3 linked regions of the Tamandua tetradactyla genome follow. The protein of the gene in region 1 interacts with the protein of each later gene in a pairwise test. Links are inferred from orthologs where the notes say so. Each region holds a gene or a part of one and is shown in the gene's direction. Other genes may lie near its edges.

The links.
Region 2: the proteins of KIFC3 (region 1) and NEFL interact in binary tests that used the Homo sapiens proteins (3 or more experiments, as listed by UniProt). The two-hybrid records come from large-scale screens. The link is inferred for Tamandua tetradactyla from reciprocal best matches to the Homo sapiens genes KIFC3 and NEFL.
Region 3: the proteins of KIFC3 (region 1) and MFAP1 interact in binary tests that used the Homo sapiens proteins (3 or more experiments, as listed by UniProt). The two-hybrid records come from large-scale screens. The link is inferred for Tamandua tetradactyla from reciprocal best matches to the Homo sapiens genes KIFC3 and MFAP1.

What each region holds. Positions count from the first base shown.
Region 1 is NC_135342.1:51,503,174-51,513,867, reverse strand, and holds the start of KIFC3 (kinesin-like protein KIFC3), read left to right. Parts: upstream 1-5,541; 5' UTR 5,542-5,604; intron 5,605-9,549; 5' UTR 9,550-9,588; coding exon 9,589-9,754; intron 9,755-9,803; exon of another isoform or gene 9,804-9,861; intron 9,862-10,694. UniProt on the Homo sapiens protein: Minus-end microtubule-dependent motor protein. Involved in apically targeted transport. Required for zonula adherens maintenance.
Region 2 is NC_135329.1:25,880,310-25,891,496, reverse strand, and holds the start of NEFL (neurofilament light polypeptide), read left to right. Parts: upstream 1-5,650; 5' UTR 5,651-5,698; intron 5,699-11,187. UniProt on the Homo sapiens protein: Neurofilaments usually contain three intermediate filament proteins: NEFL, NEFM, and NEFH which are involved in the maintenance of neuronal caliber.
Region 3 is NC_135340.1:58,061,658-58,072,534, reverse strand, and holds the start of MFAP1 (microfibrillar-associated protein 1), read left to right. Parts: upstream 1-5,340; 5' UTR 5,341-5,502; coding exon 5,503-5,581; intron 5,582-8,960; coding exon 8,961-9,180; intron 9,181-10,877. Other genes in the region: WDR76 (WD repeat-containing protein 76), read right to left, coding at 2,131-2,529, 3,187-3,243. UniProt on the Homo sapiens protein: Involved in pre-mRNA splicing as a component of the spliceosome.

The sequences.
Region 1 (10,694 bases):
TGTAGAAATTATGTCTGCTCAAGGTAAAGAACTCGAATGAAAGTCTGGATCAGTGAGTATGAGTTAAGGGTGGTGGGATTTGGTTTCTATGACATTTGTGCAAGAAAAAAGCAATCAAGTTAAAAGCATAAGCCACCTAGAATTCACAGCAGATGGGGAGCAATGGATGGGGACGTGGAAGCAAAGTGGGAAGGACAGGAAGAGAGCATGTCTTGGCATAGAACAAAGGAGATGGAACAACTGAGAAATGAGAAGTCGAGCTCCGGGTGAGAAGGGTGCAGAGGCGGCTTCGGGAAGGTCTGTGGGACGGTGAGTCAGAGGGGAGGAGGGGAGGAGAGGGGGCAGGGTTAGCTCCTGGGTGAGCTTCTCCCATAGCCATTCTTGCTAAACCTTTTTATTACCTGGAGCTTGAGTACGTATCTGCTCAGCGTTTTCATTCCTCTCATTTTTTAGAATACGGGAAATTATAGAGAAGTAAAAAAGTCTCATTTGCTTTTAAACTTGGAATGCCAGGAGGGAGGGAATCTCTGCAAATTCTCCCTCTCGTCATTAAGGGGTTTTAGGGGAGTCCAGGAAGCACTGCTGAGTCCAGCCTTCCTGGTAGATGCAGAAAGGAGGCCACGATCTAGATATTTTTAAGTGAGATAGTTTTACTGGGGAGAGAGATGCCTCAATTCCCCACAGGGTGCCCTGGAAATGGGAGAACTGTTTCCTTCTCCAGCTAATAACACGAAGGCTGGAACAGAAAGAGGAGAGGAGAGGAGAGAAAGGTACCATTGTTAAAATGTCTTTGAGCACCTATTGCCTGCAGGAGAAATTCACAGTCTAGCCCAGGGCCCTCATAGAGGACACCCCCCCTCCCCCACCCAGGGCCCTCCGAGAGGACACCCCGCCCCCACACCTTCCTGCCCCCTGAGGGGTGTGGCCTCCTGAAGGCTAGCACTGGTGAGCCCTGCCCCAGGCCCCTAACACGCCCTTTATTTGTCTCAGCCCATTGCATCCTCCCCGCTGTGCTCCTGGAGGGAGATCTGTCCCCATTTCAGGGGGCAGGAGAAGCTCGGAGGTTAAGCCATGTGCCCAAGTCCCGTGACTGGTGAGGGGTGGACCTGGGACTCAAACCCACACTTGCAGTTATCGGCACAGAACCACACTCTTCACCTCCCCGCAACCCTTCCAGTTCTTTCTGTAATGCTCATGACAACTGTTTCAGGGGTTTTGGAAGACTTGAATGAAAAACAGCAGCTGAGTCAGGATTACTTAATAATACGCAAGTCAACCCCAGAAGGTTGTTCTTGAACTTCAAGAAAATGTCTGCTGGCTTTCGCAATGTGACTGTGTGGTTGTGAAAACCTTGTGACTGATGCTTCTTTTATCTACCTTATGGATAGATGAGTAAAACATTTGGATTAAAAATAAGTAAATAATAGGGGAAACATGTTAAAATAAATTTAGTAGATTGAAATGCTAGTGATCAATGAAAGGGAGGGGTAAGGGGTATGGTATGCACGAATTTTTTTCTGTTTTCTTACTTTTTTTCTGAATTGATGCAAACGTTCTAAGAAATGATTATGATGATGAATATACAACTATATGATGTGAATTACTGATTATATATGTAGAATGGAATGATCATGTGGTAAGAATGTTTGTATGTTGGTATGTTTAATAAATAAAATAAATTAAAAAAATAAAATAAAATGGCTACTACCCAGAAGAGAGAAAGAGTGCATGCCTAGAAGAGAGGAGGGGTTAGAAGAGAGAAAAAGTGCAGGTTTAGAACAGAGAAGGGATTAGAACAGAGAAGAGGGTGCAGATTTAGATAAGAGAAAGGGTATGTGCTTAGAACTGCCGGAGGGCGCTCTTTACTGCCCACATCGAGTTTATTTGCTTTCCAGAGCCTTATCATTCCTGTTGATAAGAACTGCCATCAGTTTACATGGGAAAAAAGTCTGTTCTGATCAATTGAATTCACCTTTGTGCTTTCCCTCTGAATTCTACATGCTCTATTTCTTTAGTCTACAAAAACCTATACGCCCACCAGGCACTGCCCACTTTCCCGGTGATCAAGTCAGGAAAGGGCTGTGCCCTCACGGGGCTGGTGGACTGAGTGGCGTGACAATCCAGTGTGTGGAGTGTCGCCGGGGTGGGGGTGGGGCATGAGCCCAGAGGAGCCCACCTGACCATGCTGGGGAAGGGCAAGGAAGGCGGCCTCTGATCTTGAAGGACTTTTGAAGGTCAAGCAGGAACCAGCCGAGGTGTGGTGGAGGCAGTTGAGGGTGGGGTGACGGACAGAGAGGCCTTCCGGGCAGGGAGACCAGCATTTGCAAAGGCCTAGAGGTGCTAGAATGTCAAGTTAGATGCTTAAAACTGGAAAATCAAATACATCTTATCTGTGCTTTGCCCTTGGGTGACTATCAAAATCAGATCAGCCTCAAACTGGCTTTTCGTGCCCCCTCTTGGTTTCCCTCTGTACTCTTGGCCCTTGACTGCCTCTCTGAAGGATGTTAAGGGCTTTCAAGACTTTTGAACACGAAGGTGGTGCGGCCCAACCGGAAGGCGTGGATTTGCAGTGCTCTCGCCACTGCCTTTTTGTCTGGACCTCCCTGGGACGGCCATACCCCGGCCATGCCCCAGCAGGGAGGGCCAGGCCCCAGGGCAGGCCTCATTCACGGGCTCAGGCGCCTACCCTAGGGATTTTCAGCTGTCTGTGAAATCCTCAGCTTCCCCAGTGGTCAGGTGAGAGCCCGCAGCCTGCCCATCTGTGAAGTTCCGGGGGAGGGGGGGGTAGAAATGACCTTGGAGTCGGCGTGTAGTCCCTGCTGATGCTGTGCATTCTTAAAAAAAAAAAAATCCCATAGTTACGAAACAATTAGTTCTTATATTTCAAGCCAGCGATGTGTTAGTGAGAATTCAGAAAATGCTTCCTCCTAAGGTCTCCGTTTTCTATTCCTTTCCCTGTTGCTTCGATTTCAATAAACCCTTAAATCTATACACATGTGGCAGTAATATATGTGCGTACACATAGGCCTATTGGATTCCTATCTCAGTTCTATCACTAAATTAGTGAATTGATGTCTCCAAGACTCAGTTTCTTCTCCTTTAAAGTGGGCAGGTGGTGGTGCCCACCTCCTCGGGTGTTCAGGGTTAAAGGGGAGCTTGCTTATAAGAGCTCAGTGCCAGGCCTGGCCCAGCATTAGCTCTACATAAATGGCAGCTATTATGTGCATAGAAAAAAAAAAAGACTTCACTAAAATGTTGGCAGCATTTGTCTCTAGTGGGTGGGATTATGGCTACAATGAACATCTATTACTTTTGTAATCAGGGAAAGGGAACAAGAAATGTTATTATGAATTAAAAACCTGGCTTCGGCTTTGTTGGAAGGAACCTGCAGTTGATGTCAGTGCACCAGCCCTCGAGGTCTGCAGTTTTATACCAGGACTTTAAAGACAGCTTCCCTCCCCACAGCCAAATCAGAGGGACTATAATAAACGAAGACACTCGGTCAGAAATCTAGAGGTGCCTCATCCTCGTCCAACCTTGTAGTCCCCTGACCACGGTTGTCCGCAGGGCAGGCAGGGGGAATCATAGGTGCGAACTCCAAATAAGGCCCTCAATCCACTCGGAAAGCTCTTGGGGTTCTTAGCTGGAAATCTCCAACTCCCCAGGGAATGATTCCAGGAGCGTGACCTTTACTATGTGTTGGACTTTCCCTCGGACGTCTTGGTTAGAAAATCAAACATTGATTTTCCGTGGAGGGCCTGGGTGTGGCGAGGCCCAGCAGCTGGGGGTCCTGAAGCCCAGGCTCTCGGCTCCATCTCTGCTCCAGATTCTTGACTGCCAGCCCAGCACCCCAGCAGCAGCAGGAGACGGAGCCCACCTGCGCCACGCACCCTCTCTGGCCCTGTCCTGACTCTCTCTGGACCACCTTCTGTCCACCCTCCTCAGATTATCTGCAGAGCCATCAGCCCGCAACCAGCTGGCTTCAGAGTTGCTTTTATCCCTCTCCTTCCGCATCCTGGAGAGAGAATATTGCCGCTGCTCTGGAATAAAATGCTGCCTCTGTTCAGGAGACAAAGAACAGAGTGGCTCCTCAGGTCAGCTGCCTTTCCTGACTGGATGGCCCCCTGGTCTCCCCATCCACCCCATAAGAACGGCTCACCCACAGGGCTAGGCTGGAGCCCCTGTCCGTTCCCTGGGCTGCTGCTTGCTGAACATGAGGCTTTGAGGAATATTTCACTTTAAAAAGCAAACAAACAACCCAAACAGCTTCCCTGCTCTGGAAGACGTAAATCTGCTGGGGAGGGAGGGTGCCACGGCTGGGGAGGCAGCCTGTCCTGAGTGTTCTAGGGTGAGTGACACTATTAGGTGAAAGTGTGTGTGAGGACATGTGAAGCCCATGCGTGTGCACCAGAATGTGAGTGGACACATTCATTAGAGTGAGCACTGTGCAAAAGCATGTGTAAGTACTAATAGAAGTGCATGTGAGTGAACTAACCAGGGTGTGTGAGAATGCATGCAAAAGTTTGCCCTAGGTTTAAAAGAATGTGTGTATTAGAGTATGAAAAGCCATGTACTAGAGCTTGGAGAGAACACGTGTGTACACATGTGAGTATGCAAAAGCAGATGCATGTACTAAATTGAGTGTATGAGCATGTGTGTGAAGCATGCGAGAGCACTGGAAAGTGTGCACGTGTGCTACAGTGTGAATCCATGTGTATGATAATGTGAGAACATGTGGGAGTGGGGTAAGTGTGAATGTGTGTATTGGACTATGAAGAGAGCACAAGAGGGACAGCATGTAAGCACACGTGAAAGTGCATGTGTGGCAATCAACCAGAGTGTGTAAAAGTTTTCTATTAGGGTTTGAAAATGTGTGTACCCAAGTGTAAGAATATGTGAAAGCATGTGGAATACCAGTAAGAAGATGTGAAAGCATGTGGTATTAACTAGTGTGTGAATCTATGAGAACATGTGAATGTGTTCTTGTGTGTCTACTAAATGAGTGTGAGAACATGTGAAGGAGTGTGGATAGAGTATAAGAAAAAGTGTACTGAGTGCAAGAACATGTGTGAGAAAAAATGTGAGCATGTGTGTAAGCTTTTGTGTGTGCTAACCAGAGTGTGAGAGCCGGGGTGGGAATGCATGTGTGCTATAGTGTGTGAGAGCCTGGGTGTAACAGTGTGAACACGTGTGATGGGGTGTATCCACCAGAGGGTGAGCACGCAAGTGAGCACTAGCGTGTGCAAGGGGCAGTAAGGCGGGAGAGACCCAAGTGGGCAGGTCTGGTCGAAGCACGTGAGGGTGCAGGGGGGCGGCCCTGCGTGTGAATTCGTGTGAGTGTGCGAGGGTGCGCCTTCGCCGGCGCGTGCCGGTGAGTGTGCGCGCGCCGCTAACCCGTGGCGGTGTGGGGGGGGTCGGAGCCGGTTGCCATGGGAACGCGCCGCGGCCGGAGCTAATCATTTCCTGTGGAAAGTGAGCGGGCGGGGCGGGAGCAGGGGCGGGCCCAGGAGGCGGCGGCCTGGAGCTGCCTCTGTCGGCGGGCCGGGCCGGGCCGAGCCCCGGGCGCTGCGGCTACGACGACCGAATCCTGCCTTCGCCAGGCGGGTGAGTCGGGGGCGTCGGCGTGCTGGGTCCCGGCTGGGGCCGGGCTGAGGCGGTCTGGTGCCGCTCGGGGATCCGCGTGCGGGCCGGCCCTGTCCGCGGGACCCCCGTGCCGGGTTCAGCTGCGGGGACGCGGGGAGGGCCCGGCCCGGGAGACCCAGCTCTGTGCCCTCCCCCGCCGTTCAGCCCGAGCGCGACCACCTTGCCCCGAACTGGGCATGGGGGCGGCACGTCCCCTGGCGTCAGAATAGCTCCGAACCCCCGTTCCAGTCACATCAGCCCTGGGGAACCGCGACCCTACCCGGGAGTCGGGTGTCAGTGCCGGGTCCTCCCACCGCCGGGGTCCCTTGAAAGCTGCAGTTTCGGACCCACCCACCGCCTCCGGGCAGCTGGCTCTCCCCGTAGCGGGGCCGGGTGCGGGGTGGGCCAGCTCCCGTTAGGCAGGGCTTGGGCAGGTGACCTCCTGGGCAGTCGGGACTTGGACCGTTGCCAGCCGCAGACCGGGGATCCCAGCAGGAAGGACGAGCCCAAAAGCCACTCCTTTCACCCCCCACTGCCAGTTAGAGCAGAACTCAGGCGCAGAGCAGGGCCTGGTCCTGGGAGATTGGATTTTAAAGAGGATACTGCCTTTAAGTTTTCAAGGGCTTCTTCCCCCTGCCCCAACACATCTGTTTCTAGGTTGGAGGTTGGGGCCTCCAATTCCCCAGCTTTCCTTCTGCCTGAGGCTGGGTGAGCACCCATCCTTGACCCAGTGGAACCCTATGCCCTTGATAAAATAGCCATCTCCTTGGCCAGGGGAGAGTCATTCACCAGGAATGCAGCCTCAGAATGGAGCCCTGTATTTGCAGTGTGGTCATTAGGGATGCAGGGTGATGAGTTCTGCTGTTCTTATGGGCACTTGGGAGTAAAGGATTGGAAATTCAGGTTTCCCTGGAAAATCCAGGATGTGGAATTGTGTGTGTGCATCTGAGGTCTTGACCCCTATACAACCTCCCTGACCTTTGCCTGCTCCGCCAGGGGCCTTCATCGCTCCCCAGCAACAGTGCCCAAACAGTTGTCAAATCTGTTCCCCAATTACAGAAATGTCCCTGGTCTTTGGGGGAGTAAGAGTGGGGGTGGGGACAGAGCTGTAGCTCTATTGCCTTGTCCTAAACCGGGAGAGACAGCTACCCCTCTCTCCAGCCGGCCCCTGGGCACTCACCCACCACTGGAAGGAGTACATAGTCAAATAAAACATGTGAGCTCTTGGTAAGCGCCAGTATTGTTCTGAATACTTGATATATGCATTAGCTGACCTTGTCCCCAACCCTATCAGGTGGAGTCCTCCCCATTTTACAGATGGAGAGAATGAGGCACAGAGAGCCAAGTAACCCAAGGTCTCATCATCTAGTAATTGGCAGAGCCAGGTCCTGAACCAGCTTCTGGTCAGAACTACTCCTCCCTGAGGTACCCCCCACTCCCACCCCATGAACCCTAGGTTCGTAGCGGCCTTGGGATGCCAGGCTGGGGATCAAACACCGTGCAAGTGTGGGGAGGGGGGCAGGTCTTTCTGGACCGAGAACCTGGGGTTTATTTGCTATTCCTTGATAATCTTGTTCCTTCACGCACCTCTGGCTGCTAAATTTAGCTGCTTTTTCCTCTTTGGGCTCTTGTACACACCCTTCCTCTTTCTTCCTGGCTGCCTCCCCAACATCCTTCCTTGAAAGCCACAGAAATATCGTCTCCTGTGTTGCTGCCCCTCAGACCTAGCTGAGCTCCTTTAAAGTCTCTCCCCCAACCATGGAGTTGAGGGTCAGTGCCCTGTGCTGCCTCTCCATTCCCGCAGCTCCACCTGCAGGTGCAGCCACCACTCTCCCTTCTTGCCCGTTGTGCAGCTGGCCTGCGGGGTGTACTCAGCTCTGTGCCATGCAGCCTGGGCAGAGGACGTTGGTGGCTGTCCTTGGTTTTTTGCACACCACACTTGTCTATCTCGATTTCTACAGTGGAGCCAGCCCAAATATTTGGATTGGCCTCCATCCACCCTTTGGCCCACATTCCTGCCCCCTGCCAGTAAGATTGCACCCAGGAGCTGCCTCCTCTTAGTTGCCTTTCTCAGTCAAGGGAGGAAGAGGAGCCTGGCCTTCCTCCAAGGCTCAACATCAGATACCAAGTCTGTGTGCCTCCCAGCTTGGTTCAAGGCTCTCACACATCTTTCCCTCTCAGTGCTTTGATCATTCCTGCCCCTTCTCTCTACCCAAATGCTAACTCTGCCCTATTCTGGACACCACATCTACTCTCTTCACTCTCTCCTTCCCATCCTAGCCAAACTTCCCTAAAGAGAAGGAAGTGGCTTCTTCCTCTAGCCCCCACCCCACTGCTTAAGCCTTCCCGAGTCTGCCCTCTGCTCTGCCCCACTGACACGCTCTCTTAAAGGACCCTCGGGTATTCTGCCTGTTTCAGTTTCTTTCCAGCTTGGTGCCTCTGTGACATCGTTCACTGGGAACTCACCATCCTTGCCTTCTGGCTCTCTCTCCCGTCAGTTCTGAGAACTCTGCACTTGGCTGGCACTCCTGCCACCTCTCTGACCTTCCTTCTTTTAGTTTTATTCCCTTCCCACCCTGGGATTGAGCTCTGTTGTCTCCCACCTGCCTCTCCCTTGCCATGGCACCAGGGGCCATCTTTTGCCTCCCAGCCTCAGTCTCAGTCTCAGCCCTTGATTTCTCTTCTGAGCTTCAATCTGATGTTTGTGTGCATTCGTTTCAGGGCACTCGCCATAAAAGCCATCACAGAGTGCTTGGTGTGAACGTGGCTCAAGCTCCAAAGATGGATGTGTGGTAGACCCTGTCCTCAGGGGGCCAGAGCCGTAGTCAGGGAGGTGTGGTAGCTCCACTAGGAAGTTTTGGGCACCTTAAACTCAATTTTAAAACCAAAAGCAAACTCCTTGTCTCCATCTCCAAGCTGATTTCTCTTCTGTAAATGGCATCACCATTTGTCCAAGTCTGGGTTTGTAGCTTGGTAACTTTAAATGCCTTATAGTCTGCCTGGCATATACTAGGTGCTCAATAAAGACTGTGCAGTAAAGGCTTGAACTCTATTCCAATCATTTACTCAGTTCATGAGGGACCTATGGGCTTTCTTTCTCCAACCAGTGCTTCTCCCAAGGCTCATTTTCCCACAATACCTGTTACCTACCTCTAGCCTCACCTGTATCCTGTTCGGATTATGAAGGTTCACTGGAGTGTTTCTTTCCCTCCTGACCATAAGCTTTCAGTCCTTGTCTCTCCAGATCAAAGAGGACCTCTGGCAAGTGCCTGGCACATAGAAGTGACTCAATAAATAATTATCAAATGAAAACTGAATGAATCCTTGTATCTCAAACCTGTACTTGCCACGTTGTGTGCACAGGGTGAAGGCTAGCTGAATACATGAATGAATGAGCAGACTTTTATGAGAATTTAATATACACAAACCTAACTGAGTAATGGGACAGATGGAAATGTCACTGGCCATGACAGCCAGTGCCCTTTCTGAGGCTTTGCTCAGTGAAATTTTAATATGCAGAGTAGTAGCTGGGTTGGTTGACAGGCCTGGGACAGAGAAGCTTGAAGTTTCAGGGGTTCAGCACTCTCCTAAATACAATCAGAAAATAAGGTATCTTGGGGGAAAAGGATTAGATTAACAGAGATGCTGTCAACTCTTCCTTCCTTCATGTGACCCCTGTGTCTTCAATAGAAGGACTCAGACTGGGCATTTCCACCATCAGGTGACCAACTCCTTAACCCCCTACTCAATTTAACACCCCGGAAATGGAGACAGCCCCTGTTTCATCCTTGCGCCTCGGGTCCTTGGGGAACATTGGCGTTTGGGCAGCGGCTCTGGCTAACAGGTGGTCCTTCCAGGGTGCCAGCCTGCACTCCGGGATGCCGGCCAGCGGTAGTCATGCCCTTCCCTACTTTCTTCTCTCCGCAGGGCCCCCGGCGCCCGAAGGAGCCCGCTGAGCCGCGGGCCATGGTCCCGTCCCGCAGGACGTGGAACCTGGGAGCCACGCCCTCGCTGCGGGGCCTGTGGCGAGTGGGCGGGGCCCGGGAGCCCGCGCCAAGGATGGCTCGCCCCGCCCCCGCCAGCCCAGCCGCCCGCCCTTTCCCACACACCGGCCCAGGGAGGTTGAGAACTGGTGAGTCCGCATTTTTAAAATGCCTTTTTATTTCCTTTCCTTCCTCCAGATACCAGGGATGAGACTGAGGTTTCTGGCCGGTTCCTAAACTCAGCCAGAGCTGTCAGGTAATTACAGGGTGCTAGCCCGCAGCCGAGAGCCCGGGCGTGGAGGCCGAGCGTCAGGCTCTCCGGGCGCGCCTGCCCCGCGCCCCTGCCTGGGAAGAGAGGTCTCGGAACCCGAGTTAATCTTGAACGCAGCCTGTGGGGCAGAGGGGGAAGCCCCGCACACAGGCGCGTTCTCTGACGGGCCAGGGGCCCAGCCTGTAGGCGCTCTCACGTCCCCAACTGCGGGGCTCGCGGTGGCGCTGGGGCTTCTGCCCGCAGCTGTAAACAAGGTAGGTGGAGTGCTGCGAGCCCTTGGCGGCTCTGACACTTGATCCCGCTTGGGCTGGTCAGTGGATGGTGCGAGGAGTGGACGGAGGCGGCTGGGGAGCCTGGTCCGGCGGGGTTGGGGTGCCATGCGCTCCGGGTTAGGTGCCTGCCGGGGCTGCCTTTGTAGAGGCCTCCACGGCAGGTGGGCAGTGAAGGGGTCCCGGAGGCTGGTCTCCTGCTGCCTCCCCCGGGAACTCTCCTTGCCAGCTCCCCTTTCTGGGTCATGTCTCCCTGTGCGGGAAACATCAGGATGTAAGAAACTCCTCTGATTTCAAGAAAGGATTGTCTGGACTGAGGAGCTGCCGATGACCCTACCCTGCTTTTGAGCCCTGGCTTGGGCAGGTGTCCGTGGACATGGGGAGATGGGGTGGAGAAAGGGGTCTCCAGCCAAGACACTTTTGGCAGTTTGCTGTCTATTGGCTTCTGACCCACTGGGAAAGGGGTTAGTTTTCTAGGCAGTCCAAGCTGGCAGAGTCCCTCTGGGCCATCAGGTCCCAAGCCCTTCACTACAGAAGGGGAAACTGAGG
Region 2 (11,187 bases), on another chromosome or scaffold:
CTGGTTTAGTCCATTAACATTCAAAGTTATTACTGAAAAGGTATTTCTTGAATCCACCATCTTAACTTTTTAATTTTATTTGTTAGATCTATATAATCTCTTCTCTCTTTCTTTTTATCCTTTAAATTACCCTTACTTGTACTCTTCAATTCTGTGGCCTCCTCCAGAACTCCCTCTCCTGTCTTGCTTTTTTTCAGCCAGGAGAACTCTTTTAGTATTTCATGTAGGGCCAGTCTCTTATTGACAAATTCTTTCAGGACTTGTTTTTCTGTGAAAACATTAATCTCTCCATCAGTTTTGAAGGACAGTTTGGCTGGGTACAGAATTCTTGGTTGGAAATCTTTCTCTTTCAGGATCTTAAAAATATCATACCACTGCCTTCTCACCTCCAGGGTGCTAGTTGAGTAGTCTGAAGTCAGTCTTACGTGGTTTCCTTTATATGTAGCAGATTGTTTTACTCTTGCCAGTTTCAGAATTTTCTGCTTCTTTTCAACATTTGACAGAGTGATTAGTATGTGCCTTGGGGAAAGTCTATTTGGATTTATTCTGCTTGAAGCTCACTGGGCTTCTTTGACTTGTATGTTTATGTCCTTTATAAGGGTTGGGAAGTTTTCCCCTATTAAATCCTCAACTGCTTTTCCTAGCCCTTTACTCCTCTCTTCTCCTTCTGGGACACCAATGATTCTTATATTTGTGTGCTTTGTTTTGTCTATAATTTTCCTGAGATCCAAGTAAAAATTTTCCATCTTTTTTGCTATTTGCTGTTTTGTGTCTTCGAAGTCAGTTATGCTGTCCTCTATATCGGTTATTTTTTTTCTGTCTCTTCAAATTTGGTGTTGTGTGCCTCTAGTATGTTTTTTATTTGGTCAACAGAGTCTTTAATCTCTGTGATATCCATTATTTTTCTATCCATTATTGTTCTTTCAAATTTCTCTTTATGCTCTTCTACTATCTTCTTGATCTCCTTTATGTCATTTGTTATCCCACTTATTTCATTAAGTAGAAATGTATGAATATCTTTGATTAGTTGTTCCAATGTCTGTGTCTCCTGTGGTGTTTTAATTTGGTCATTAGGCAGGGCTATATCTGTCTGCAGTGTGATATGCTTAGTAATCTTCTGTTGTTTTGTTGCACTGATCTTGACCGATTTACTTTGGAAGTTGATTTCTTTCAGTAGTCTAAAGCTTGTATTCGTGGGATAGATATGCAACAGGGAGCAGGGTATGGGGCGGGGCACAAGAGTGTGGTAATTTGTTTCAGAGCAAGTGTAGGTTCAGGTTGGGGATGTGATGCTGATGCTTGTGAATGTGGGTGCCCAGTGGCCAGGGAGGATGTGGCTGTGCAGGTGCACTCATCTGGGGGACGTAACCCTGGTGTGTGTTGGTTTAAGGCACAGAGCCCTTTCTGCGCATGTGTAGAGTTGTGACAGCAGGTTGGTGTTATGCCTTTGTTGGTTGGGGGCAGATGTGATCCAGTAGTGCAGGTCAGCACATTCTCAGAGCTGGGAAATGTGACTTCTCTAAGTTTTCCATGGAGCAGGGCTGATCTTAAGCTACTCTAGTCTGCCATCTTCCTGGAAGTCTCCTCTTTACCAATTTTTATACTGCAGGTCTACTAGCTACAAATTTAGATTTCATTTGCAGACAATTATTTCTTTCACCTCTTTTTTTTCAAGAACATTTTCATTGGTTATAGAATTATGACTTAACATTTAAAAACTTTTTCATCATTTAAAGGTGTCTTTCCATTGTTTTCAAGCTCCTGTTTCTGATGAGAAATCAGTGATCACACTTATCCTTGTTTCAGTGTAGGAAATGTGTTTTTTTCTCTGGCTGCTGCAAGTCTTTCTCATCTTTGATTTTTAACAGCTTGACTATGATATATCTACATCTGCTTCTCTTTATATTTATCTTGTTTAGGATTTGCCAAGTTTCTTGGCTAAGTCAATATTGTTCCTAAATCAGGGGAAATTTTATCATTATTTCTTCAAATAGTTTTTTTCTGCCCCAATCCTACTCTTGTCTCTCTTTCTGAAGCAACAAATACATGCATATCAAACTGTTACTGCCTCACAGGTTTTTGAAGTCTCTGTTCACTTTTCTTTCATTTTTCTTCTCTTTTTTCTTCAGATTGCATAATTTCTGTTAATCTGACAAGTTCACTGATTTTTTTTCCTGCTTAGACCAATAAGATATTAAGCTTATCAGTGACCTTTTCATCTCAGTTTTGGTAATTTTCAGTCATAGAGTTTTGATTTAGATACAATTTTTATTTCTCTCCTGAGATTCCCTATCTCTTCATTCATTAAGACTATGTTTATCCTTTAATTCTTTCAACATATTTTTGTTCAATTCCATGAACATTTTTTATCATAACTGATTTTAAAATCTTCATTTGCTAAATTCAACATCTGAACCACCTTGGGTTGGTTACTATTGACTGCTTTTGTCATTGGCCATGGATCGCATTTTCCAGCTTCTTTGTTTGTTTAGTGACTTTTGATTAAATATTATACATTTGGAATAATGTTGTAGAGGTTCTGAATTTGGTTACCTTCCTCTGAAGAGTGTTAATTCTTGTTTTAGCAAGTAGTTCAGTTACCAGCTGATCACCTTGAACTTGCGTAGGCTTATTTTTTTGTTTTTGTTTTTTGCATGGGCATGGGAATTGAACCCGGGTCTCCAGCCTGGCAGGCGAGAACTCCGCCTGCTGAGCCACCATGGCCTGCCCTGTGTAGGCTTATTTTAATACTTTGTTAATAGGATCTGTGGATACTCCAAGTAGAAAATTCCTACTTTTGAAAATAAAGTTTTACTGGAACATAGCCAAGCCCATTCATTTCCATATAGTGCATAGCAGCTTTTGTGTTACAATGACAGGATTGAAGAGTTAAAATAGAGGCCATATGGCCTATAAAGCCAAAAATATTCCTGCTCTAGAGCACAGTTCTTTCACCTAAAACAAGGTCTTTCTGGTTTCTCAGCTGTATTCCAGGCGCATTAATTAAATGTTGTTAAGACCTTTATTCTTTTGTGGTCAAGGTCCAAAGCCTCTGGACACTGCCATTCCCCCAGCATTCCAAGTTATCTGTTAATTTTTAAAACCACAGTAGCCGTTATATGGTAAGTCCCAGATGATCTCCTCTTGCTCATTTCCAGTCCAGTCCTCAGTCATGGCCTTGTCCTCGAGGAACTCCCATATAGACTTTTGACCTGTCTTCTCTGCATAGCTCCCTCTTTGCTGATGCCTTGCCCTGCAGATTCCAACTGTTTAAGTTGCCCAGAACTGTTCTCTGTCTCTTCAGCTTAACTGCCAAGCCATGCTTGGCCTTCAGTGCTCTGTGATATGGCTGGAAAATTGTCCGCTAGTAGAGCATTGGATGGTTGTTGGTTTTATCTTGTATTTTTCTCCTTCAGGAGTAACAATCTTGGGCTGCTTGTTGTCCACTGCTTATAATCAGTTCCTTTAAATATTTTCACCTAGTTTTATGTTGTTTACAGTAGAAGGACTAGTCTGGTACCAGTTACTCCATCATGAATAGAAGCATAAATCTCTCCAGTTCTTTTTAAATCCTCATCACCCTCTTAACAAGTGATACCTTCCAGAGTCTGTGGCTTAACTTTTCATTTTTCCTTCAACTCCCAGATGGATGTGTCCTCTCTTTTTCAGAGAGGTCAGTTGTCTAAGGAATCTGCCAGTAATTTTCTATTTTCTCTCCTAGGGACATCTGTAGTTCACAGCAAAACAAATGCAGTAACACCTCCTGAATGCAATGACACAGAGCCCTTTCAGACTTTAATAACTAGCTCTACCCACTGCCTTTTGTTCCCTAGGATGACTCAGTACAATGTATATACCCTTCATGACTGTGAATTTTTAAAATTACACTTCACAAGAATAATCATGTTACATTAATATTAGTTCACATTTCCATCTTTGTAAAAAGAGTAGTCGGTTGCAGGTTCAAGTACAAAATAATCAACAATACAATTAATTCTCATCATGAAAAAGAAAAGAAAGGGAAAGCCAACCTCCATTTACAGAGGGACAAGGATGATGTGCCAGGTAATCTGTGATGCATTTTTACACATATAGTATCATTTCTCACTGCAACCTTAAGGAATGGGTATTACTATCACCAGGCTTTGAGAGACAAAATAACTTGCTCCTGCTCACATGCCTGGGCAGTGGTGAAGTCCAGAAATCAGATTGGTTGTTTGGCTTCAGAACTCTTTTCCACACACCAGACCATCTTACCGAAAAGGGAAGAACTGTTCCTTCCCCTTACTCATATGCACAATTTATAAGACTGCATACTTGCTGATTTACTTAGCATTTTAAATCTGTCCTTGATTTAAACTTATTTTACTTGGCATAAAAATGTTGGGGATGGGAAAAGAGTGCAGTTTCCCCAGACTGAAATTAGCCTGTCTGCATTTACAAGGGCAAACCAAGAATGAGATAGTAGGAGGGCTAGTCTAAGAAACAAAATTTTTGCTCATCCTTCTATTAACTTTAATAACATTTATAAGAACTAACAATAAGTAACTTCTGTCTGCCCTGTGCTAAAGATTGCAAACATAAAAATTAATCTCCTCAGCAACTTGGGAGGTATCTACTCTTGTTATGCCCCATTTTACAGATTAAATCAATACAGTTTGGGGAGGTTACATAATTTCTAGCAGATGGTAAATAGTAGAAACATGGAATCTGTCCCAGACTGCAAGATTTAGAGTCTGTGCTTTCAATCACTGCCTTATACTCATTTCCAGCTGTGTCCATCTAAAACATTTTTATTCCACAATCCTGGAACTCTGAGAATTATAAATAATTCCAAACAGACTTCGTCTCTTTACCCTCCTTGCCCATAACTCTTTTCTGAAGCCTTGGAATAAGCTTCAAACCAGACTTCTATAAAACTCAGGAAAAACATTCCTATTCTGTCAGGACTATAAGAGTTAAGTGTGTGTGTGAGAACAGGGAAGGTGGTTAAATGTTCATTGCTTATGTGATTACGGTAATAAATGTCCTGAAGATGTGAGTACACCCTCAATTTAATTTTATCTTTTGTGGCTGGCAGAGGCAAGTGATTTTCCTATAGCGTAAAATCTTCATGTATTTTGGAAGAAGACCTACTAATTTCTCAAGAACAAAGATAAGGCAACCTCAGCTAATAGATTATTCTTTACTGCTACAGTTACAAAGTAAATAATTCAACCTGTCTGGGATGTGTGCAAAAACCCTTGGGAAAAATCCAAAGTTAGTTGTGAAAATTTGAAAAGAAAAGCAGAAAAATAAATAGTTTCCTGGAACAGAAAGAAGAGCTTTAAACATTAGAGGGGCGCCTAAAGAGAGGACAAATGATTCCATCTCCCTCCGTCTACTCTGTTCCTGGTGGGAGAAAACCGGTGCGAGGGCTTGGGAGCCCGGGCGATGGGAGCAATTAGTTAGAAGTGAGAAAATGGAGAAATAGTTAGGCAGGGAGACTGGATATGCGTCTTTGGCGGTTGCGCAGGCTGCATTCCTTTCTCACGCGCCGGTGGCTCTGCTAATTTCGTTCTCTTTCAAATCAGGCAGAACTCCTTCATTGAAGGATCCGGCTAAGCTCGCAAAGATGGGCAGTTTCTGATAGAGATCAGCAAGCGTCACCTGTGAATCTCAGAAGGGAAAGTGTTAACCCAGACCCCTCCTCAGGAAGGTCAGTCACTCCAGTCCTTAGGCCTGGGCCAGACCTTAGGAACGAGGGCCTGTAAGGGCCTATGGGAACAAGGTCCTATAGGAAGGGCTCCTTTCCACCCCCTCTCGCACGCCTCCATTCTGCCGTGGGAAGCTGCCAACCAGAGTAGAAAGGCCACAAAGTTCCTTAAAAGAACGGTTCCTTAAACCGCTAATGGGTAAGAGGTTGAGTAAGGGACCGCTGCGTGTGTCCTGGGTGGGGGGAGGTGAAGCGGAGAAGCGGGGGCTGGGTGCCAACCAGCAGCATTCCCGGCGGGTTGCTGCGGCGTTTTGCACAAACAGCACACGTTTCTCACGGAGTCGCTGGCGCCTGCTGCAGTGACCGAGGACCGTGGTGTAGGGTGAGAACAGAAAGGAGAAGGGTGGCCTAAAGAAGAGAAAAGGGAAAGGGACTAGGAGCCCTAAAAAGCCGATAACGGGCAGAGATTGAGAAATCCCAGAAAAAAAAAGACAATAGGGACTATGCTTTGGGCAAACCACGCAGAGGAGGAATTAGATGGGAAAGAGAACAGTAGCCCAGGCAGTACCTCGATGATAAAAGACAAAAGCTAGAGCAGCAAGGACAGGGTCAGGTTCTCGGAGACCCGGGCCTTGACAAATCTTGTGCCTCTGCATCGCCGTGTATTCAACTCTAAAACCAAGGGATTGCTCCCGAGCAGGAAGTCAGAGCTCCTTTTTGAATTCAACGAATATTACGTGTTCCTTCTCCAGACAAGTGGGGCGCATTTTCAGGGGGCTCCTGTTCGCCCTCAAGTGCGCCAGCTGGTATAGAGGCGCGGCCCTGGACCCTGGCTGGGACTCTTAGCAACCCTGTGCGGGAAGGAAAGGGGGGCGCTCGCGCTAGGGAGGGGGCGCTGCGCCGAGGCGGCCCGGCAGATAGCTGAGCCGCCTGGGGGCCGCAGCTCCGGCAAGAAATGACTCAGCGTCCTCCGGCTGCAGGAAACCGGAGCGGAGAGAGAAGGCCCCGCCCGGCTCCGCATCCTGCCCCGCAGAGGCGGCTCTTGTCCCGAGCCTCAGCTCCCAGCGTGTGGTGTTTTGGGATATTGTCCCCATACCCTAAGTCTCTTTTGACCAAAGGGATATTCCCTTTTTCTCTCTGGTCCGGCACACCGCCGGCCCAGGTGCAGCTTCCCGGGTGATTCGCACAGCGCCCCTGGGGTTGTGCGGGTTCAGGGTACCGCTTGCTGGCCTGCCTTACCCTGCAGCACCCCGCATTTCCAGGTTTCAGGGGGCAGAAAGTGCAGCTGCCCCTCCTGTTCGCGGGATTGCCCTTCACCCTTCCGCAGTGCTCGCTGAGCTCGCTCTCCCGACCTTCCTCCTGGTCTCATTTATTTTTTTCTTCCCCGCTTCTTTCTCCGGAATAGTTGGGGTAGCATTGAACTCTGAGAACGCTGCAGCGGCATCTTCCCCAGAGCCTGGGCAGGGGGAGAAGGAAAGAAGGCAAGCTCGGATAGCCAACTCAGGCTGACAACACCGGGGGAGGGGGGACAGGATGGAAGAGGTCGTGTAAAACAAAGTTTTCCGCCGAACAGCGCGATTGTCTTGACGTGGACTCTCAGCCTGCAAACTGAGGGCGACGCCCTTGGGTCCTTTCCGCGACCCTCTCACCCATCTCGCCGGTAGAGGCGCTGTAGGAGCGGCAAAGCCCTCTACCCAGGAGGGGACTATGCAATGACCATTCTTTCAATAAGAGGGGGAGTTTGGCTTTTTAGAAAGGCTGTTGTGCAAAGCACAGATCATTAATTGCACGGCTGTACCAGCTCAGGGAAAAGGGAACCCGAAAAACTTTTCCCAAAGAAAGGACGTGGAGATATTTAGTTGACTGTCTCTCTGACTGCCACTTGGTTGTCACACTGAAAACCTGCCCAGTTAATAGAAAATATTACACATAAGCAATATATTTATATATTTTGTTTATGATATATATATATATATAGGCCACTTCCTTTCTTCTAAATTATGCTGGTTTCTAGCTCAATCTGCTGAAGTATTTATCCCCAGGGCCTGCCCTTGCTGCAGCCAAAATTTTATAGAAAAGTCTATTAAATCCTTTCCTATGCAGATCTAGTCCCCTTGATTCCCTGTTGGCTTGTCTTCTAATACTTTATATTGCCTCCTTCATCCTGCTCCCAGCAGAGAAAGGGTGACTCATTAATTCATTCATTTATTCCTCCTTATATGCATCAGGCATTGCCCTTTGCAACCAATATATCAGGGTCCTTTTTAATATAGACATTTGCATCTTTCCTTCTCTGTTACAAACGTGGACATTCTTTTCATTCCTTTTTGCCTTGAATTGTTTAATCGTAGCCTCTTTGTTTCCTGTGTCATTATGAAAGGGTTGTCTAATGACAAGGCAGAACTATAAACTAAATGGGTTTCCGTGACAAAGCAGAATCTCAGTGCTTGAGAGACTTTTAATGAGACATAACTTTGGCTTCTGGCGAGACCTGCTGATGAGGATGAGATAATGTCTCTGGCAGAATGGATGAACTTGGGATATAACCTGTTAATAGCCAGACAACCTGAAATCTTTTTGCAAAACGTCCCTGGGCCAATACTCAGGCACCTTGGTGCCTTGCTTTCTCCTATTGCAGTTCTGATCAAAAGATATGCTATTTGAAGACAGCACAGTCAAGTCACAAATTTGACCTACCAGAGCATATACAATTTAGAACCAGAAAACTGTGTCACTGGCAGAAATATATCATGTGCCAATGTTACACTACATTGACAAAGGTCTGCAGTAAGGACTTCCTGTTCCAGTATCCCTTCTGATAGCTTGAAATATGCCTGAACCACCTGCCCTTGGAAAACTGGCCCAATTGTCTTCTTTCTCTAATAAGAAACCGATATCCAGGGAAGTTTAGTGCCTTGTTCAACTGTAGAATTCAGTACTCCCAACTCTCTGTGCAGTACTTTTTTCTGCCATTCACTGCTTCCTTTGTCAATAATGGCCTGGGATACCCTTTTATAAAATATGTATACTTTTGGGAGGATTAGTGTACTAAAGCATTGCTCTCTCAATGTGAATTCTTTAATTATTAGAGGTTAATAAGTGAATCATCTGGAAATGCAGTGAAGTAAGGAAGGAGTGTGTAAAGAAGTGGGTGGAGAGGAAACTGCTACAGCAAGGACTCTTGGGAATCCAGTTGTCATGTGGGGCAGTTGGGGCTAGCAGGTGGGCTGAGACACTGGACAGCAAGAGGGGTGTGGGAAATGCTGTCTGGCCTAATGTGCATTGTGGCTGGAAAACAGACACACAGCTCTCCTTCTTCCAGGTCTGGGTATCGCTCAAACAATTGCTTTACACATGCTGAGATTATTTATTGTTTATCATCCTTTAGCCACTTAGTCTCACTCCTTGCTGCTGCAGAGTGGTGAGGAAGTGGGAAATTATTATACAGTGGGGAGCTGCACACTTAAGAAAGCACCTGTATCTCTCAATTCAAACTAAGTGTCCGGCATTTTAATCCATCTAAGAGCTTTCTTCTCAAATGAGCTGCCTGAAGGGGGTTGCTCGTCAGGTTTAAGGAAGTATGCTAAAGGGAGAAGCACGGCCAAGAAAAACTGCAGCAGCATATATGAGATTTGGCAGGAGGGAGCCAGCAGGGCAGCTGCAGTGGACACGGAAAATGATATTTGGGTTCCAGGTTTAAATACAGTGCTATTTTTTTCCTTAGTAATTTACCTAGTCCTCAGGGTACTCTTATATTGTTTCAATAAGTCAGTGTTATCAGCAATAATGTTATGCTTCTGTCAGCCAAGAAGCTTTATGGAATCAAAGAGAGACTAGCAGGTGCAAACACATAATATAAGATATATGGGGACCCTGATCACAGCTTAGTTTTTCTTTTTTAATAATAAACCTAAAGACGGCATGCCAATATTTCTTATAAATTTAACTCATAGGCATCACTCATCCAGTCCTCTTGGGTCTTGTAATGTCACTCCTCTGGCTAAAGGAATACATTTGCCCCTGAAAGTCTTAAACTTTACCATAATTCTGTGGCTATAATGCATAGGTTATATTATAGGAGAGAGGAAAATGCATAAATCTTCAACTTTAGTGTACATTACAATGAGACATTAAGGTTGTTCAGATTTGTTTTTGCCTAAAGATGCAGTTAAATATAAAAGCAATTTGAAGATTTTCTGTTTCCAAACATAGAATGAACACCTCAAAATACTCAATCATGAAAGTTTCCAGAAAGAACATTACATTAAGGAATGAAATTAGGCAGCACAAGGAAGCCCAAAGAAGAAGAGGTATTCAAATAATAAAGTCTTTTTTCTATATACTTTCATTTAAATAAAAATGCCACATTTAAAGAATGAAAATTAAGTAAAGAAGATTTTAATTAAGGAGTTTGAGTATCCTAACTATTAGTTAAGAGGGAAGTAAAAAATCATTTAATTAAGGTAGATATTGGTTTTCGCTTCCCTTTTAATTCTCATCAAATTGCCAATTTGGTTCTAGTATATCCTAAAAAAAAAACATTATATTTTGTTTAAGGCAGTTCAAAGCAAACTTATGAAGTCTTTAGATTTTTTTTTTGCTCTCCCTGGCTCCTCCACTCAGCCTTTCTCTTGCTCCTCACTCCCTCAAACTCTCTTTCTGTCACCCAGCCAGACTTTTTCTCAGGAAAGAATCCACTATTTTTCACACCTTAGTGAGAACATATATCAAAATATAAATTCTACCAGGGGTAGAGACATCTTAAAAATTCTATCTAAATTTGAATTCCAGAATATAAACAATTCTGAATCATAAGAGGAGATACGGAAAGTATTTAGGAAGCAAAAATTCCTTCTGGAACATCTTGGAAATAATCATGCTAAGAAGCAGCTCATAGAATGAGGGCAAATTATTGAGGTATGGTCTCATCTGAGGATATTACATGGACCTGTTATATATTCCTCTAGGCTGCACAGCTGCCTTTGTATAGCTGTTAAGAGTATGGACCCTGGAGCCATACTTGGCTGATAGAGTCCCCACTCTGTCATTTACTAGTTGCTTGAATTTGGGCAAGACTAATTTTTCTGTACAGACTCGAATAGATATTTGCACACTAATATTCATAGTGGGATTATTCACAATTGTCAAAAGATGGAAGCAACCCAAGTGCCCATCAGTCAGTGAATGGATAAATAAAAAGTGAAATATGCATACAATGGAATATTACTTAGCCATAAAAAGGAATGAAGTCCTGATACATGTGACAGCATGGATGAACCTAGAAAACAGCATGTTGAGTGAAATAAACCAGATGTAAAAGGACAAATATTGTTCAATCTCACTGATTTGAAACAATTAGAATATGGAAACTCATAGAGTCAGAATCTAGAACGTAGGTTGTCAGGAGACAAGGTGGGAATAGGAATGGAAAGTTAATACTTAAAATGTACAGGTTCCTATTTGGAATGATGGATATATGTCTTGGTCATGGA
Region 3 (10,877 bases), on another chromosome or scaffold:
GTTTACATAGGATAATCCTTGCAGATATCACCTTAGCCAAGTGATTAAGGCCAACATCACCAATAATACATAATAATATCATGCATACACTGATATGATGTTCTGAGAAGGGGACATAACCGTTGTGGTATCCTTCCCAACAATGTAAAACCTCAATCTAATCATGAGAAAATATCAGACAAACCCAAACTAAGAATGGTATACAAAATAACTTTCCAGTACTCTACGGAACTGCCAAGGTCACAAAAGACTGAGGAAAATGTCAGAGATTGGAGGAGAATACAGAGACATGACAATTAAATATCCTGTGGGATCATGGATTGGATACTGGAACAGGAAAAAAGTTAGTGGAAAAAACTTGTGAAATTCTAATTCATTTGATTGGATTGGATACTGGAACAGGAAAAAAGTTAGTGGAAAAAACTGGTGAAATTCTAATTCGTTTGATTTTAGTAAACAATATTGGACTAAGGTTAATTTCTTAGTTTGATAAATGCTCGATTGTTGTAAAAGATATTAACATAACGGGAGGGAGGGTGAACGTATATGGGCGCTCTCCGTACTACTGTGCGACTCTTCTGTTAAGTATAGAATTATCTCAAAAGTAACTGTTAAGAAATTCTTTGTGAAATGAAAATATTTAATAGAAGGGGTGGGAGATAAAATTTAGAAAATTTCCAAGAAATTAGTACAAAATCTTAGACTTGCAGGCCAAGACTCTTATCTATGATATGACAAAAGCCTCTCTTCACTTGGAAAAGGATGACCTTATAAACTAAAGCATGGTGTCAGAAAGCCTTAGTCATTTTATTTCAAAAGGACATTTAATACAAGGAAAGACAACAAAAGAATGAAGTATTCTATAAAAAATGTTATATATTGCAGTTTGTCCTAAGAAAATTTATACTGGGCATTTATGACTCTGCTTGACTATATTGTACACACCACCTCATGTTCTAATTCCTCACATCAAACTAAAATCTGCCAAAGAGATCATTTAATCCAGTGGTTATCAAAGTGCAATTCCAGACTAGCAGCATCAATGTCTCTAGGACGTGCAAATTCTATTCCCTACCACAAAACTTCTGAAATCAGAAACTCTAGGGTTGGGACCCAGCAGTCATGTTTTGACAAGCCCTCCAGGCAACTCTGATAAAGGTTAAAATTTGACAACTACGATCTAACCCAATCTTCTCATTGTAAAGGTAATTTGCCTAAAGGCACACAGTCTCTTAGAAGTTGAATGCAGAGATCCCAACTTCCAAGTGTCCACGTGTATGACTCACCCAGTGCTCTCCCACCATAGGTCCTTTCTCACCTCTGGGACAATAAAGCATAAATCTAATTCCTAATTCATAACAACAACGCTTCAATTATCATACCTTCCTCTCTCTACCATCACTTTTTATTCCCCTAGTTCCATCAACCTGCTGTCATGTGCTATGGTCTCAATTTGGCTTAAGTAAAATTTGTCACTGAACAGAGCACAACACTCCAGAAAGGTAGTAGAAGCCAAAGGAATGAGATACCTAGTTCCATAAACTGATTCAAGCTATTATTTTATACAGAACTGATAAGTGTTTCATCTGTCTCTGTATTTGAAAGGAACTATTACTGAATACATCAATGCAATTAATGATGGTTTTCCTACCCTTCCATGAAGGCTCACTCAAATGTCACATGTCCCACAAGTTGACTTCTTCTAATATACGGGTAATGTAAAGGTAAAATAAGTAAAATGCCATAATTGAGGACAGACCATGGTGGCTCAGTGAAAGAGTTCTCCCCTGCCATGCCAGAAACCTGGGCTCAATTCCCAGTGCGTGCCCATGACAAAAAAAAAAAGCTATAATTGAATGTGTAAACCCAAAACCATATGCAATAACCTGAGAGGGAAGCAGAGTGAAGACTGAAAGTCAATCTCTCTTCAACACATCAAAACCAAGAGAAAAATTAACCCAAGGAACTAACTGGTTAAATATTTTTAAAATAATAAAATTTCAATTCAATCCATTAGATGACAAAATAATTTGTTTGGCCAAGAGAGACCCTTGATAACCTTAACTTCTCAGAACCTCAAATTTCAAAACAATAAGAAAAATTAAAACAAACAACTAATTAAATTCTTACCAGGCCTGGTGTGGTATCTCCATCACTGTCTCGATCCTGACAGCTTTCCACATCAACACTGAGAAACACTGCATCTGAAGTGCTCGGCAGTAACTTGTTATTTTCAGTATGAACATCTAAGGATGATTTTTGCAGAGTGGATTCTGCCTCGGAAGTGGTTTCCATATTTGGAGTTAAAATCCCTCTGCAAATTTTCTTTATTTCAGTCTTCTTACACAGCACTACTTCCTTGTTAGAATTCTTTTCTAATAGGGATTTAGAGTACTTAAATTGGTCTAGTTTGTAATTACAGAGTGAAAAGGGGATAAGACAAAACTTAACTGATTTTCCTAAAACTGGAGACTGAATTGGTCTCAGAGATACAGAAGTGATGGTTTCATTTTCTTTATATTCATTCACCTATTCAGGTCAGTAAAGGAAAAACAGTATTAGAAACTCAGGTCTTACGCTTTTTCTTACAAGGTCCCCAATAGATCTGTAAAAATAAATCTAATTCCTATATCTTAATCACAATATAAATCCAAAGTGATAAGCTGTAAGAAAAACTTTTCTTCCCCTTCAAAATCGATACCTAATTCATTTAACTGAATGTAATTATTATACTAGCCCATTTCTTGCATATATGAGTTTGTCAGAGCAATAATTAGGACTACAATTTTTAACTGACAAGACTATCCCAACTGTCAGCTTCTGAAACTTTAGAATTGTTTACTGTGACGCTGACAATAACTACAAATGCAAACGCAGGGGGCAGGAGAAAAGGAGTGCCTAATCCGATGTGTGCCGCTATCTCTGAGGTTATTGACAAGAACTTTTCTCAACACTGAAGGCCTAGTTTTCCACAGAGAAAAAACATAGCAGGGAATCTCGCTTATCTTTTGAAGCAACACCCCCCAAAAAAGCCCAGCAATCTGCACCCAGGGCGGGGAATAATTTAAGAGCGCAGAAGTACCCTGGGCCATATACCCGTGCTTTCGGGCCTGTGCCGGGAAGATTGCCTCAAGAATACTGAAGGAGAAGAACACCAGAAGGTGTCAACCCGATTCTCACCCTTACCTGGGGTCGCTGCCTGGAGCCCACCTCCTCCCCAGACGCCGCGCAGGACCCGGACATGTTTCGGACACGTTTTGGCTCTCAGCAGCTGGCGCCTTCCCGCCAACAGATCGGCGGGAGGCGGCGGTGGGAGGGGCCTGGCCGTGAGGGGCGGAGCCCGGCGGGTGCGAGAAGCCGCCCCGCGCCCCCCCCCAGGCGCTTCCAGGCTCAGGTGTCAGCTGGCCGGGCGGGGAGGACTGTGATCAGCATTGACGAAGGCAGGTTTACCTGCCTCACCCTAAGATTAAAATGCTTTAAGGATGCGGTGGGACCTAATCGGCAGTTTTACCTTGAATGCCGGTGATTTTAATTCTGGTATTGCCGGGTTCTCGCTTTGAAAAAGTAGCTCATTTGCCTTGGAGATGTAGCCTGGGAAAGACTGAGAAGCACCTAGATTGGGTGTGCAATGTAGGGAAGGTACAACAAAATCAACATGCAGCCTATACCTTGGCCCACTGGCTCCTTATTACCCCATCACCAACTTAACCTACTGCTACTGCAGGATCTTCTCCCTACGAAGGGAAGCATTTTGATTTTTTTCAAGGGCTGATAACTGATTTAAAATTCATATTTGACTATCTTCCTACCGGTTAACCATGACCCTAATGATGACTTTAAATGGCCCAGAGGCTGGAAAGAAGGAGTTACAAATCAAATAATTTGTGTATCAAACTATAAGTTGCAGGGGTGCAAGAGTAGTTCAAAGGTAGAATTCTCGCATGCCATGCGAGAGACCCGGTTGATTCTGGCCCATGCACTTCCCAAAAACAAACAAGCAAGTAAGCAAACAAACAAACAAAAAACCAACCAACCAACCAAATTCAAGAAATGGTGCTGCAATAATGGATGCTCACACACATATATATATATATACACACAAATTACAAGATTTTAGTGCACTGTATTTCTAGTCATATCCATATTAAAACTTTTTTCTATATTTTGAGTTACTATGAGCCAAAACAATTGCCTTCCCATCAGATTTACTCCCTCTTGATACCATAATTTTTTGAGTTGATAAATCCATTAATAGAAAATTGTCTTTAAGGCCCTTTTCATCCTAGCCCCAAATTGCTCCCTTGATTGGTTACTTTGGCCACCCAATGTCCTTTGCCCAATTTCAATTCTTCTTCCAGACTAAGCTAAGTTTTAGAACACAGATGAAATAATTTGAGAATTAATCATATTAAAGCATCTTTCAAGTCTCTCCATGATCTGATACTCACACAACTTTCACCACTCTCATATTAAAAAGTTACTAGCAGATAAACCCAAACTTCATGGTATCCCACAGGTACCCTGTAATTTTTCTCTTTCCCGCCACATTATTTCCTTTGTCCCCTAAAATGTGTTCTGACTTCCAATTAGCCATTTTTTAATACAACGTAGCTAGTAAATTGGGGCGGTTTCTATTATGATTCTAGATGTCCTTGAAAACTTTCAAATTAGAATCCAAGCAACATAAGGATGCCAGTCTTTTAATATTACATACTCCTTACGAACAGCTAAGCCTGGTGAACACAGTTAGTATTCAATCATTACTTATTGGCTGTTAATCTACAAACACTTTCCTGCAAAAAAAAAAAAAAAGTATTCTAATAGTCGTCCTCCAGAAACTGAAAGAACCTGAAAAGCCTAAAATGGAGTGCTGGAATTTCAGGTATTTTCCTAGGCGCTTCGGGATTTTTTTTTTTCCTTGCAACTGGCCAAAACCACCACCACCTGCTAGCGTGTGACCTAAATACCATACCTCAGGCCACCACAGCCTCATTAACTAAGCTAATTAAGATGCCATTATTAGCAGGATTACTATCCGGACCCAATTCTAATCCTTCTGAAATTTCAACAATCAGGACAAGCAACCCCTCACTATCTCCTCAATTTCTCCTTCATCACTACACCATTACCCTCGGCTTCAAACCAAGATAACAAGCGAAACTTTTGATTCGGACCTTCTTCGTCGCAAAGCCTAAAGGAAGCAATTTCCCGCCAGAAGCGGCTTCCAAATCCTGCAATATTGAAGACGCGAAGTCAGTCTATGAACATGCGCAGTAACAGATTCGCCCTCCTAGGCACAGGCGCCCAGGCGTCCTCCAATATCCCACAATCCTCTGGTCACATATTTCCGGTTTGTCTAGCCCAGACGCAAGTGGAGTTTCCCTCAGTCTTGCACCCGCGTCCGGTGGACCTAGGGGGAAGTTTTTTTCTTGTTGGTTGACGTTGTCGTGTTCACTGTTTAGAATCAGTTAGGTTCTGGGAGTCACCGCCGCTGCCATCAACATGTCGGTCCCAAGCGCACTCATGAAACAACCGCCCATTCAGTCTACGGCTGGAGCCGTTCCAGTTCGCAATGAGAAAGGTACTGTGCTGAGCCTCTTTGCAGTGGGATCTTACCTGTTTCTGCCCCAGCATCTTCCCAACCCATCCCCCGAGCCGACCACCCCAACCCTGCCGACACGTCCTCCAGTTTCTTCGACCTTCCCACCTTAAACTCGCACCTGATCGCATTGTCTGGGGAGATGGAGTATTGGGGGGAGGGGGGGCAAAACCACTTGTATCTGAGCTTGTTTTTATGGCCTGCCTGCTTTTACGTAAAGCACCTCTCTTCCCTTGGCCTCCATCGATTCATAGACTAATGTATACTGAATGCCTGCAGTTCCTTTTTTATCCCACATGGTAGCTTGTTAATGTTGTTATTATAACTTATCAAAGATATTTATGCGCCTGTTTCCCCTTTGCTAGATCATAATTTTATAAGCTCCTTGAGGCAGGAACCATGTCTTATTCAGCTTTACATCCCTTTCAACGAATGCAGTGGCTGTGCTTATTAAATTGAATATAAAGTGGTGTGGGGCAGTGCCTATAACCTTCAAGAACTCATATTCTAGTAGACGTAAGACATGCAAAAAGAGGCACATTCTAAGCAGTGTACAGTCTTGTGGTTCCTGTCCAATAGGTATAAACCAAGTGCTGTGGAACAGCCAGTTTTTTCAGTAAGGAAGTTGGAAAATATTATCAGTTCTTTCTTTTTTGCTTTATAAGTATACTATACCTACCCCTGTGCCGCTTGCCTTTCTTTTTAAATAACATGACTTTTGAGAATTATCCTTCCAGTACACATAGATTTAATTAATTTTAACTGCTTATGAATTACATGACAACTAAACTATAGCTTACAAATTACAAACAGTGCTACAGTCATCATTCTTAAATGTGTGAATGAGAATTTCTCTAGGGTAGACTCCTGGAGTTCATCATCAACTTTACTACCTATTGCTAAATTGATCTCCAAAATGGGTTACAAGGGAAAAAGAGTTTTTATTTCCCCATGTAGTCATCCATACACTTAGTTGTATCAGATTTTTAAATTTATGTTTAATAGTTGTGAAATGGTAGTACAATACTTTAATTTGCATTTCCCTGATTACAGGTGAGACTGGGCATTTTGCTTGTGTATTTTTCAGCTCTCTGGGTTTTATCTTCTGTGAATTACATGTTTTTTTCATTTGCCCATTTTTTGTTTGGTTTTATTTTCATACATTTCAAATCTGTAATGTCTTTTTCCCTCTTTTTTTTTTTTTTGGCTCTTCTTGTAACTTTAATTATGGAGTCTTCTGTTACAGAAATATTTTTAGTTTTAGTGTAATTATATATTTTTTATGGTTTATGCTTTTTGTGCATATTAAGAAATCTTTCCCTACAATGAGATCATAGATATTCAGTCTCTAAACGTTTTCTAACATCTCAGTGTTGTGTGTATAATGATACAAATGAGTTAAGGATCTTACAGTTTAGTAGGGGATGTAAATGTTTTAGATTTTTTCATGTTTGGGTATTTAATTCATCTGAATTTTGTCTTTATGTGATGTTAGGGGTACATAGAGACCAGCAGAACAGAAAGGACAGAAAAGACACGTCTGAGAACTTGCTGTATTGAAGTAGTATTAAAAATTAGTGGGAAATGAAAATAAAATGGGAGAGTTGGAAGGTGGGCCACGGTAACTCAGTAGGTAGAGTTCTCACCTGCCATGCCCAAGACCCGGGTTCCATTCCCGATGCCTGCCCATACCAAAAAAAAAAAAAAAAATCAGTGGGAAATGGATGGGCTATTCAGTCAATGGAGTGGGGACAATTAGCTAACCATATGGTAAAAGGTAAAATTAGATCCCTAACTCATACCACATACAAACAAAATTCCAGATGAATTAAAGACCAAAGTATGAAAAACATCTTAAATATTTACATCCCCTACTAAACTGAAAGATCTTTAACTTAGAGCCTATTTGAATAATTGTGCATATAACACTTATATGTTAGAAAACCTTTATAATCTGAATATATTATTTAAATATTATAACTTTAAATAAGCCTTGCTCTGGTACAGGGAACCTCCACATTATGTGGTACAGAGGACCTTTCATTTGTCTTCAGAACCGTCTTGGCTCTTAGCCTCCCTTTCCATATGATTTTCAAATCAATCTGGGGAATGGAACTACATTAAAAATTGTAAATTTATAGATTAACTCAGGCATGGTCACCGTCTTCTCATGAACATGATGTATTTCTCAATAAAACATTTAATTAGATCTTTCATATCGCTCAGTAAAATTTTTTATTATTCTTCCTAAAACCTTGCATCTCATTTCTTGAGTTTTATTCCTAGGTTCTTTATAGATTAGTTGCTTTTATAAATTATATTTTTAAACTACGTTTTCTAACTATATGAACCAATGTACAGATAAATTCATTTTTATATGTAGGTCTTTTATTCAGCTCTCTGAGCTTGAACTTTCTGGGCTTGTCTATCTTGTATTTTCTACATAGAGAATCATATGGTTGTAAATTATGGCAGTTTCTTTCTTTTTAGTCCTTACACCATTTATCTCTTCCTTTTTCTTCTTGCCCAACTTAGAATCATAATACACTGTCGACTAGAAGGTGTGATAGGAACAAAATAAGAATACCCTCTGTTTTTCTAAGTTTAAACCATCCCCTGTAGTCCTGAGCTAAATCTTAATCTGTCATGATGGCTTGAGGTTTTTGTTTGTTTGTTTTTATATTGCTGGAATAAATTTGCTTTATGTTTTTTAGTATTTTTTGTATCTATGTTCATAAATGAAATCCACCTTATGTTTTCCTTTGAACTATCCTTTTTTTTTCTTTAAAGTTATACTTATGAGTGGTTAGTTTTCCTTCATTATTGGTTATGTTTGTATTTGTAAAAGAGAGATTATCTGCTTTTGCTGGTTTGATAGTGCATGAGCAAAAGGAAAAGAAAGTAAAAATAGATAAGTTTAGAAAATTATATGGTAATATAGTAGAAAGGCTGCCATGGAAAATTCCTGAGAGAACTAAAAGAATGTTTGAAAAGTTACTCTTACTATGTGTCAGGCACTTTTACAAATAATTCGCTTAAGAGTATATTTGAGGTGGAATAGCATGCATTTATGATAGGCACTGTCTGTGTGTTTGGGGAGATTCATTTTTTATTGTTTATCTGCCCACATTCCTTCACTTTATTGCACCCAAGGTGTAGGCCTCATTATCATTAGTGCTGGTATTTACCAGAATGCCTACCTGGGACTTGGTCTTTGTAGGAAAACGCCGTTAGTGAATAGATAGTCTTCTGTTTAGACTCTGGTATAAAAGGAATACACAGCTCCATCTGTAAAAGCCAAGAGTCGAAGGACACTGGAAAAGAGGCTACTGAAACATTAATTATAATCTTTCTCATCCAGGGGAGATTTCCATGGAGAAAGTGAAGGTGAAACGCTATGTATCAGGAAAACGGCCAGACTATGCCCCTATGGAGTCCTCAGATGAGGAGGATGAAGAATTTCAGTTCATTAAGAAAGCCAAAGAACAAGAAGCAGAGCCTGAGGAACAGGAGGAAGATTCATCTAGTGACCCCCGTCTGCGACGTTTGCAAAACCGTATTAGTGAAGATGTGGAAGAGAGGTATTAACTAGGGTTATATTTCCCTGGAACAGGACCTGAACCCTTACAGGTTAATTAATAATCACAACAGTAATAATAGCCAGTACTTGAATCATACTTAGAATGTGCCAGACACTGTTCCAAGTATTAATTTACTAATTTTTTTAATAAGCCAACAACCTTATGAGATGTGGGTACTGTTATCCCCATTTTACAAATGAGGAAACTGAGAGTGCAAAGGGGTTAGGTAAATAATATGACCAAAGTTACACAGCTAATAAATGGCAGCTTCAGAAAATGGCAAGTTACCTCTGGCCCAACGGTCCTAATTAACTCATTAAAGGAATAGAAAACACAGACCATTGGTTGATTTTTGAGGGAAGTTTTTTTTTTTAATATTTTATTGATAAATAACATGCAACACAAACATTCTTAACATACAGACATTCCATACATGGTGTACAATCAGTGGCTCACAGTATCATCACATAGTATACTGATCACTATGATCATTTTTTAGAACATTTGCATCACTCCAGAAAAAGAAATGAAAAGAAAAAAGAAAAAACTCATACATACCATACCTTTTACCCCTTCCTCCCACTGACCACTAATATTTCCATCTACCCAATATATATTAACGTTTATTCCCCTATTTTTTTCTACACCCCTTACCACTCCCTTTCATTAATCACTAGTATTTCAGTCTACTCAATTTGTTTTAACATTTGTTCCCCGTTATTTATTTATTTTTAATCTATATTTTTTATTCATCTGTCCATACTGTAGATAAAAGGAGCATCAGACACAAGGCTTTCACAATCATATAGTTACACTGCAAAAGCTATATCATTGTACATTCATCTTCAAGAAACATTGTTACTGGAATGAGAGGAAATTTTTTAATGCAAAGATTAGTTTTCTAAAGTTTGAAAATTTGATTTTATCCATCTACTTGTTCTAAAGACCAATAAGGGAAAATGAACTAGGAGAAAAGGCCAGATAAATGGTCTCATATAGGAGATTGCACCCCACTGAGAGATTTTGCATGTTGTATATTAGTTAATACATTACCTTACAGATTAGACTTGAGATCCTGAACTTTCACAGTTCGCATTGTCTCAGGAATTTTTTGCAGACCTCCTAAGCCCAGAGAGTCCATTTATTTAACTGTGTGGTTAGATCCAAATAATTTAACAAGTATTTATGTCTTAACATCTTAGCCATTTGAAAAAATATATGCACATAAGAGAAAAAGCATTTATTTCACTCTATAAGTAAGCACAGTTACTTAATAATGGGATTTGTGCATCTGTTGAATACTGACAACTCTTAAACCTTTTAATCAGTTGAACAACACCATTTCCTGTCCCATGTTGATGTTCATGTGATACTTATTCTTTTATCACAACAGTCACAGAAACTCAGTTTCACAAAGATGTCACTGAAAGGAATATAGAGTGATCTGATGTGAACTATCTTGAATTATTTAAAATATCCCAGTGCACTGCTTTGAGTTGGCTTCATTGCCCCAATGAAGGGTTAGATAAATAATACTGCCTCAGCCTACAGTTTGAAAATCACAAGTGAGGGCTATCTTGTGAGATACTGAATAGCAGCCTGAGGTTTATGATTTATGTTTTACATTCAACTTGATTATTTGCTCTGATACTTTGGGTTAGTTTCTTTAATTTGTGCCTTTGTGTCCCTACCTAATG